2 linked regions of the Coturnix japonica genome follow. The protein of the gene in region 1 interacts with the protein of each later gene in a biochemical or structural test. Links are inferred from orthologs where the notes say so. Each region holds a gene or a part of one and is shown in the gene's direction. Other genes may lie near its edges.

Region 1 (4,552 bases):
CAAATCAGTGTGTCCCAAGCACTGTGGGATATTATTTTGCAAAGAACTTGACTTCAAACTGATCTTCCCCATAGATTTCCAGACTGTCCCCATCCTACATATGAGGAGCTCAGAGGGCATCTCATAAAACTACAGGCATAAAGCAACCCCAGTGTCTCCAGGCAGCTCATCACTGTGTGTGAGACAGTGGCAGGGACACAAAATATCCCCATGACATCAGAGGGATGGGGACACCCATGGCTCCTTCTGGTCCTATGGCTGCCGGTCCTACAGTCTGGGGCTGAGGGGAGCCCTTGTTCCTCCCCTCTTTCTCTGTCCAGGTTCCTACAGAGAATGAAACTTGAGCCCAGAGCCAATGGCATCCCAAAATTGCCTGCACTGCTCCCCAAGCCCCAGTCCCCAGACAGGGCTGTGGGGAATGCAGGGCCTTTGTCACTGGCTAAATTTGGCTCCTCTGTGTGCAGAGAACAATCCCAAGGAGAGATGCTGGCGGCACAGCCCTGCAGGCATCTTACCTTATAAAGGGCTGCCATAACACCTCCTCCTGCAGCCTGGGATCCACAACGCTGCACCAGAGCAGATGAAGCCAGGATGGGACTGCCACTGTCATTGCCCCAGCTACCATTACCAAACCCACACCAGCCAGAGGGCTGCTGCATCTTCCCCCTATGGCAAAGATGTCCTGGCAGTGGGAGGAGATGGGAACAGCTCCATGTTCAGTGGGATATGGGGCTGCTGTACCCCCTGTGCCCCCCATCACAGGAGCTGCCCCATGCACGCAACTGCTTGTTCCTCCGTGACCATAATAGATTTAGGATTAAAATACCAGGCATTGTCCCGCTGGGCTGCACGCTGGGGATTGTTTGCTCCTAAACTTGCCCCTAAAAATATCCCAGGAACAGGTGCTGCCTGCCCTATGGGCTGCACAGAGCCTCCTTCTGTGGGGACACCCAGCTGGGGTGCAGGGAGCAGCTTAGGGGATGGGAACTGCTTGAGCATCCCAACCAGGACCTGGCTGCTCCTGACCCACAAACCTGCACTCAGTTCCTGGTGCAGTGGTGGAACCCCCTCCCCATCACCCCCATCAGAGGGGATGTGCTCTCCTGCTCTCACAGCCCCATGGGCAGCACTGCTGTGAGTACCTCACTGTGGATGTGGATGTGTCAGTTCCTCACCCCATCTCCTTATCTGCAAAATAAATGAATAAAGCTGGGAAATTTTATGCAGAGAGAGAAAAGCCACACAGAGACACGATTTTTGCCTCCTTGCAGGGTTTACCCAGCAAAGGGAAAATGGAAATGGAGTGGGAAGCATATGGGCACTGCTGTTGCACCCTGGATGCATGGGCAACAAGCAGCAGCAGAACTGACTGCATGCAAACAGCAAACATTGCTTCGAACGTGTTGGGGTCACAACTGCAACAAACCCAGCTGTGATGCACTCGTGTGCTGAGGCTGCACCCCAGGTGTGTGCTGCACGTCACGGGGCAGTGGGGCTTGCAGTGCACCAGAGGGGATTTGTGCTATTTTTACTGACCACTTGGAAGCCAGCTGAGGGTTAACACTCCCACTCCGTCTCCGGGCCCCCGCAGTGCTCAGCTTTGCAGACACCAGGCACCAGCTCCCAGGTAAGAGGGTCCCCCCCAGTGGGATTGCTGGGGATGTGGGGCTGTTGAGCCCCAGCTGTAGCAATGGGTTTTCAGTCTGAGTCAGCCACCAGCACCATCCTGGGGCAGACTGAGTCCTTCTGTGGCTGCTTGGGGTCATTGGTGGGATGGGGGAGGTGGGCTTGGAGCGTGCCCAGGGTGGGTGCAGGGGGATGACAGGACAAGGCTGTGCTTGATTTTACAGGGTTATTTCTTTTAGTGTTTTCTCTGCTTTTGTGTTTTATGAAACTTTTTATGCTGGTGATCAGAGCAAAATGAGCTCATTCTGACCATGTCTCCGTCAGAGAGTAAAGTCTCTTATGGATGCTCTGGGTCTGGAGCCCCCAGATCCCCTGACATGAGCTCACCAGGCACATCCTACCTGCTCCCCTGAGCCCTCTGGGAAGCCAAATTGGAACTACTTTGCCCTAAAACTTTGTTGCCCTTGATAGAGGTCGCTGGGATGGGATCTGGCATGGGTCCCACCTCCTGGGACGTGGCTTTGTTCTGAGGGGAAGGAGGAGAAAAACGCCACGAGGCTACTCCAACTGCTGCTGCTCTATGGGGACACAGAGGGTTTTCTGTGTCTCCCCCCGCCCCCGTGGAATTCAAGAAGGAGCAGTTGGGGGCTGCCCTCAGCCTATATATCCTATTTTGGGGGCTATTCTCTGTAAACCCTAAGACCTGCAGGCTCTGTGGGATGGGGCTCCTGTTGAGATCTGTGGCTTTTCTCCCCCAGCTGCAATGCTTCAGGTTGGAGCTCTGGTGCAGTGGGGACACAGGGAGGGATGAGGATAAACTGGAGGACCAGTGCCCACACACTGTGCAATGCTCAGCTCAGGGGGAACCTCTCCAGGAGCAGAGGAACTCTTCTTAACTTTCCCCTTTGTGGTTTAAAATGGTTCCCAGATTCACTGGGGGAGGCAAAGAAGTCAATGGAGGTGGAACACCTCAATGTGAAGTAACAGCAGCAGCCCCACCAGCACTGACAAGAGCTGTTTGTTACTGAGATGCTCCTTCAGTTCGGATGCAAAAACTGGAAGGAAGATTCAATGGGCATTTTCCCAGTGCTTTTCCCACCCCTGGGCTCCCGCTGTGAGCAGCCAGCAGGGGCTCAGCATACAGCAGCTGCTGGGGCATAGGGTTACTGAGAGCATTCCAACTATGAAACGGGTGAGCGTTCCATTGGGGAGCAGGGCTGGATGCTGGGGAGGTCCAAGCAGAGGGGGTGGGTGACCCCTCCCTCCTCCCTCCTGTGCACACCCAGACCCAGAGCTCCCTACACAGGCTGGGTGAGGAGTGAGGTGGGCACTGGGAAGCTCCAGAGAGCACCAGGGCTGCTCTCCTCCATCAGCAGCACCGGACCCCAACAATGCCTGACCGACACCACCCTGTGGCTTGTTTCATCCTCCTCTCCTGTTTGTTGATGTATAGACCAACCCACCTCTATATATACTTGCTTATTTCTGCATGTTATTTATTTCTTTGTGTCTTTGTGTGTTTTCAGGACACCAACCCAGCGCCACGATGCCAGAGCCGTAAGTTGTGCTGCTCCCTCTCCCCCCGGGGCTCTCTCACTCCTACCCACCAATATGGTGTTCAGACTGGAGAGCACATTGCTTGGGTTCACTGTGCTGTTCCCTATGTAAAAAATCATCTGTCTTCAACTAAAAGTATGCAGCAACCTCAGCACCCTCATTGGAGATTTCTGAGGTCAGAGAACCTGAAAGCACAAAATCATTGAGTTTTGGCTTTTTGAGAGCCTTCAGCCCCCAGAGAGCTGCAGGTCAGGCTCACTGTGGCTCTCAGTCATTGCACACAGAGGGAAGGAGACCAATGGGAATCTCAAGGGGAACATCTGACTGCCACCTCCTTTTGATTCCCACTCACTGATGCTCTGTTTTCTCCTCTCCTTCTCTGCTCCTGCCCAAACGCGCCTGCCAGCAGGGAGGTGAGTGCTTCCCCTTTTGGGAGGGATCATGATACTCCCCTGCCTTTGCTCTGAGTTTGTTTTCAAAGCTTTTCCCCTCCCCTTTCCCCTAGAGAAAATCCAAGATCACAGCTTCGCGCAAACTCCTGTTGAAGGTGAGTCCTAAGGGCTGGAAACTCCCTGGGTCTGATGGAACAGAGCTGTGTGGTTGGTGGGATGGTGGTGGGGAACAGCAGCGCTGCAGGAGCAGCTCCCACTCCCACATCTCTTCTGAGAAACGCTCACTGATGTGGGCTCTGCGGCTGATAGAGCAAATCTCCCCTCCCTTCCCCCCTGTGTGAAGGTGGGAGAAGCTCTGAGCCCTCCTGCTCTGCAGCCACAGCCCCACAGCCCCCGTGTTGGTGCACCTGGGCTGTGCAGCACCACCCTGGGAGCTCCCCTTGCTGTGGCTTGAGAAAGTCTCTACCACAGCAGAGCAAAGGCAAGCAGAGAAGCGCTGAGATCAGCATCCCATAGACCCACCGGCAACTCTGGAGGCCTCAGCAATGGGATCTGCCCATCCACACCTCCACCATCTGCTTGTGCCCACAGAGCTTGATGCTGGCAAAAGCCAAGGAGGAGTGGGATCAGGAGATCGTGGACAAACAGTCGGAGAAGGAGAGATACCTGTCTGAGCGCATCACCCCGCTGCACACCAGTGGGCTCTCCTTGAGCCAGCTTCAGGTACATCCCTGCTCTGAGAATGGAGCACCAGCTCTGCAGCACCGGGCCCACTGCTCACCTCCTTTGTGCTGTGCTTGGCCATTAGGATCTGTGCCGGGAGCTGCATGAGAAGGTGGAGATTGTGGATGAAGAGAGATATGACATCGAAGCAAAGTGCAACCATAACACTAGGGAGGTAGGAAAGGGAGGGAAAATTCCCCACTTTCCTGATCACCCCTCGTAGGTCTGAGCACTCCTTCTCATGGTCCAGCTGC
Region 2 (3,131 bases), on another chromosome or scaffold:
GTTCCAGTGCCCAGGTTCAGGGAATGACGGTGACTGCAGCCTGCTGCTCCTCATGCACCATAACCTGTCTGTGGCATGTCCCCATTGCACTGAGGTGATACACTGACCAAAGAATTTACATGAATATTCAGGGTGAAGGAAAACAGGATGAGGGGAATAGAGGCAGAACCTTATAAGAGCAAATTCTGATTTTGGTAGCCAAGACCTTGATGCTTATGATTGTTTATTGAATCTGGGGCTGAAAACAACTGGGGATGGTCTTGGCCATGGCACAAAGATGTCCCTCCTCTGACCAGGTCCCAGCCTGTGAGAGAGCAGCTCTTGGAGGGTTAGCAATGAGTGGCAATGAGGAATTAAAATGGATTGCTCTCTGTCTTTCACTTACAGGTTGAGCAGCTGACAGAAGAACAAAAAAATGGTAGGTGCATCTTTAACCTGACATGGCAGCCTGAGGAGGAGCTCCCAGGGCTCTTGATCCACTAGGATCACATCACAGGCAGCTTCTGTGTCCCCCGGGTGTTCCCACCGGGCAAACCCCCAGCCTGGGGGACAGAACCCACACATCTCTCCATTCTCTTCTCAGAGTTTAAGGCTGCCTTCGACATCTTCGTGCTGGGGGCAGAGGATGGCTGCATCAGCACCAAGGAGCTGGGGAAGGTGATGAGGATGCTGGGGCAGAACCCCACCCCCGAGGAGCTGCAGGAGATGATCGATGAGGTGGATGAGGATGGTGAGAGGTTCTGGTTTCCTCATTTGAAGCCCTGTCCTGTTGCTCAGTGCTCCCTGCTGCCTGTGGGCCTCAGGCAGGATCCATGCGGGACACAGCGCCTGCTGAGAGCCTGGAGCTGGGGTTATGATAGATCCTGAATGCACCCCACGCTTCTGTGTGGTTCCTACAGGGAATTTCCAGACTAATAAACACTATAAAAATGATTCTGACTGTCGTGGCCAGACTACTTGAACCAATTTGGTAGTAACTGGTATTGCATAAATGTCACAATTTGTCAACATTTATCAGCAGGAAAGTCTTTCACCGCTCTAACATATATGGACATAAACACGTATACTGATCAAATCAGTGTGTGCACACAAAACCAGTGTGCAGGCTGGAGGGAAAGACTGTGCCAAGAAACTGGAAAACAGAAAAGTGGCCCCAAATCATGCAAAGCCTTAGTGCCATTGAAAACAACAGTGCTACGCTGCTGGTGCAAAAATAGTGCATGAATACCTGCCTGCTGGAGTTTTCATTATTAATGAGATGGACAGGTGCCTCCAGGGTAGGAATTCACATTCATCAAAGCTTCCAGTCCTGTTTTGCAGTATATTTGGTTTGCTGGGGCAAAATGGCTACAAAAGGTAAAAAAACCAAGAGCAATGAATTCAATCCATGGTTTCAGTTGCTCACTCCAGCCTGCAAGCTGCCTCCTGCCACAGAGCTGCTCTCTGAGTTCGGTCCTGCAGTTCCTAGCAGGAACTTTGTCCTCTCACTTGGCTTTACCTGTGCACCCACTGCCTGACGGTGTTCATTCTGCACACAGGCAGCGGCACCGTGGACTTCGATGAGTTCCTTGTTATGATGGTCCGGTGTATGAAAGATGACAGCAAAGGAAAAACTGAAGAGGAACTTTCAGATCTCTTCAGGATGTTTGATAAGTAAGAACCACAGCCACAGTGTGGGTGATGGGAGAGGTGAGATGGCCCCAGCTCACCTCCCCAGTGTGCGGGTCCCTTCCTAAGCTCCTCTGTGCTCACACAGGAATGCTGATGGCTACATCGATCTTGAAGAACTGAAGATCATGCTGCAGGCAACTGGAGAGACGATCACTGAGGATGACATAGAAGAACTGATGAAAGATGGGGACAAAAACAATGATGGCAGGATTGACTATGACGGTAGGAGTCTTTCTTGCCTGAAGTTTGGTTGTGAGTCTTTGAGCAGCTCCCATGGTCTCAGTTGTCTTTGGGGGCAGGTGTGAGCTTGTGCAGAGCTGGGCAATGCTCCTGATCCCATCCTGGCTTTGTATGGAGCTGGGGAGGTTGTAAAATGTTTGCAAGGACCTGGGCATCCCTTAACTTCCTACTGATGCTGTACAGCAAGGTTTGCTTTCACTGAGACCTGCCCGTCTGCTTTTGCCACCTAAACACCAGCATCAGCACTGAGGGGCTGTTATTTTGGACACGGCGCTGTCAAAAGGATCTGCAGGCTGTTTTTGAGTGGAGTCTGTGGCCGGGGGTGACACTGGGCACTGGTGACATTTCCACTGCAGGCATGAGGAGCTCTGGCCATGGCCAGAGGAGCAGTAGCCATCTGCCTGGCTTCTTGTGCTTCAGTTAGATGGAAATAGAGAAAGGGCCGTGGAGAGCTGCCAAGCGCGTACTATGGCAGCTGTGAAAGCACTTCAGTGCCACCTAATAGCCCTCATCTCTGATGTCTCCCCCTTGGCAGAGTTCCTGGAGTTCATGAAGGGAGTTGAATAAATCTGAGGCCAGATGGACAGCCCGAATCTCTGAAACCCCTTCTGCTCTGTGACTCAGCTTCTCGGTTCTGTCCCCTGGCTGCCGGCATGAAGACTGAGCGCTGAGAAGGGTGGCCATAGGGAAAATAAAGAGTGTTGCTATCAAGTGCTTCTGGTAGTGGTTCCTTGGCAGTACGGTGAGCGCTGCACCTTGGCCATAGGCTCACAACCAAAGGGGACGCTCCTCGTGGCTCTGGGTGCCTGCCAGGGAGTCGCCATGTTGTGCTGCCCCACTGGTCACAGCATGTGAGGGCAGCAGGGGCCTGCACTGGTGCCTGCTGGTTTAACTGGAGCCCTGGCAACATTTTAGTGATGAAACATGAATTAACAACCACTTGTTCCATTACTAAAACCCCTGGGAAAGGAGCATCTCCTTTCCTCCCTGACATTCCTACAACTGTCCCAAAGACATCCCTCCCCCCCTCCCTATCCTGATGTCCACTCTGTGGTACATACAGAGGGAAAATTATATTTGGAAGCACCTCTTCCTTGTCTCACTCTGTGTGGAGGGAGGCAGGTGGTCCTGCAAGGGAGCAGCGCTGTAGCACTACGGCATCTCACACTGAATCTGAATCACAACATTTCTCCCTTAGAAATCCCACCTGTTTGGGTGCC

What was found.
Region 2: the proteins of TNNI1 (region 1) and TNNC1 are reported together in a solved structure, tested with the Homo sapiens proteins (2 studies listed by BioGRID, with this or other methods). The link is inferred for Coturnix japonica from reciprocal best matches to the Homo sapiens genes TNNI1 and TNNC1.

The regions. Positions count from the first base shown.
Region 1 is NC_029541.1:1,161,265-1,165,816, forward strand, and holds the start of TNNI1 (troponin I, slow skeletal muscle), read left to right. Parts: upstream 1-1,559; 5' UTR 1,560-1,627; intron 1,628-3,152; 5' UTR 3,153-3,172; coding exon 3,173-3,183; intron 3,184-3,589; coding exon 3,590-3,596; intron 3,597-3,688; coding exon 3,689-3,730; intron 3,731-4,166; coding exon 4,167-4,298; intron 4,299-4,383; coding exon 4,384-4,473; intron 4,474-4,552. UniProt on the Homo sapiens protein: Troponin I is the inhibitory subunit of troponin, the thin filament regulatory complex which confers calcium-sensitivity to striated muscle actomyosin ATPase activity.
Region 2 is NC_029527.1:237,728-240,858, reverse strand, and holds the end of TNNC1 (troponin C, slow skeletal and cardiac muscles), read left to right. Parts: intron 1-387; coding exon 388-418; intron 419-583; coding exon 584-730; intron 731-1,538; coding exon 1,539-1,653; intron 1,654-1,756; coding exon 1,757-1,893; intron 1,894-2,446; coding exon 2,447-2,478; 3' UTR 2,479-2,622; downstream 2,623-3,131. UniProt on the Homo sapiens protein: Troponin is the central regulatory protein of striated muscle contraction. Tn consists of three components: Tn-I which is the inhibitor of actomyosin ATPase, Tn-T which contains the binding site for tropomyosin and Tn-C.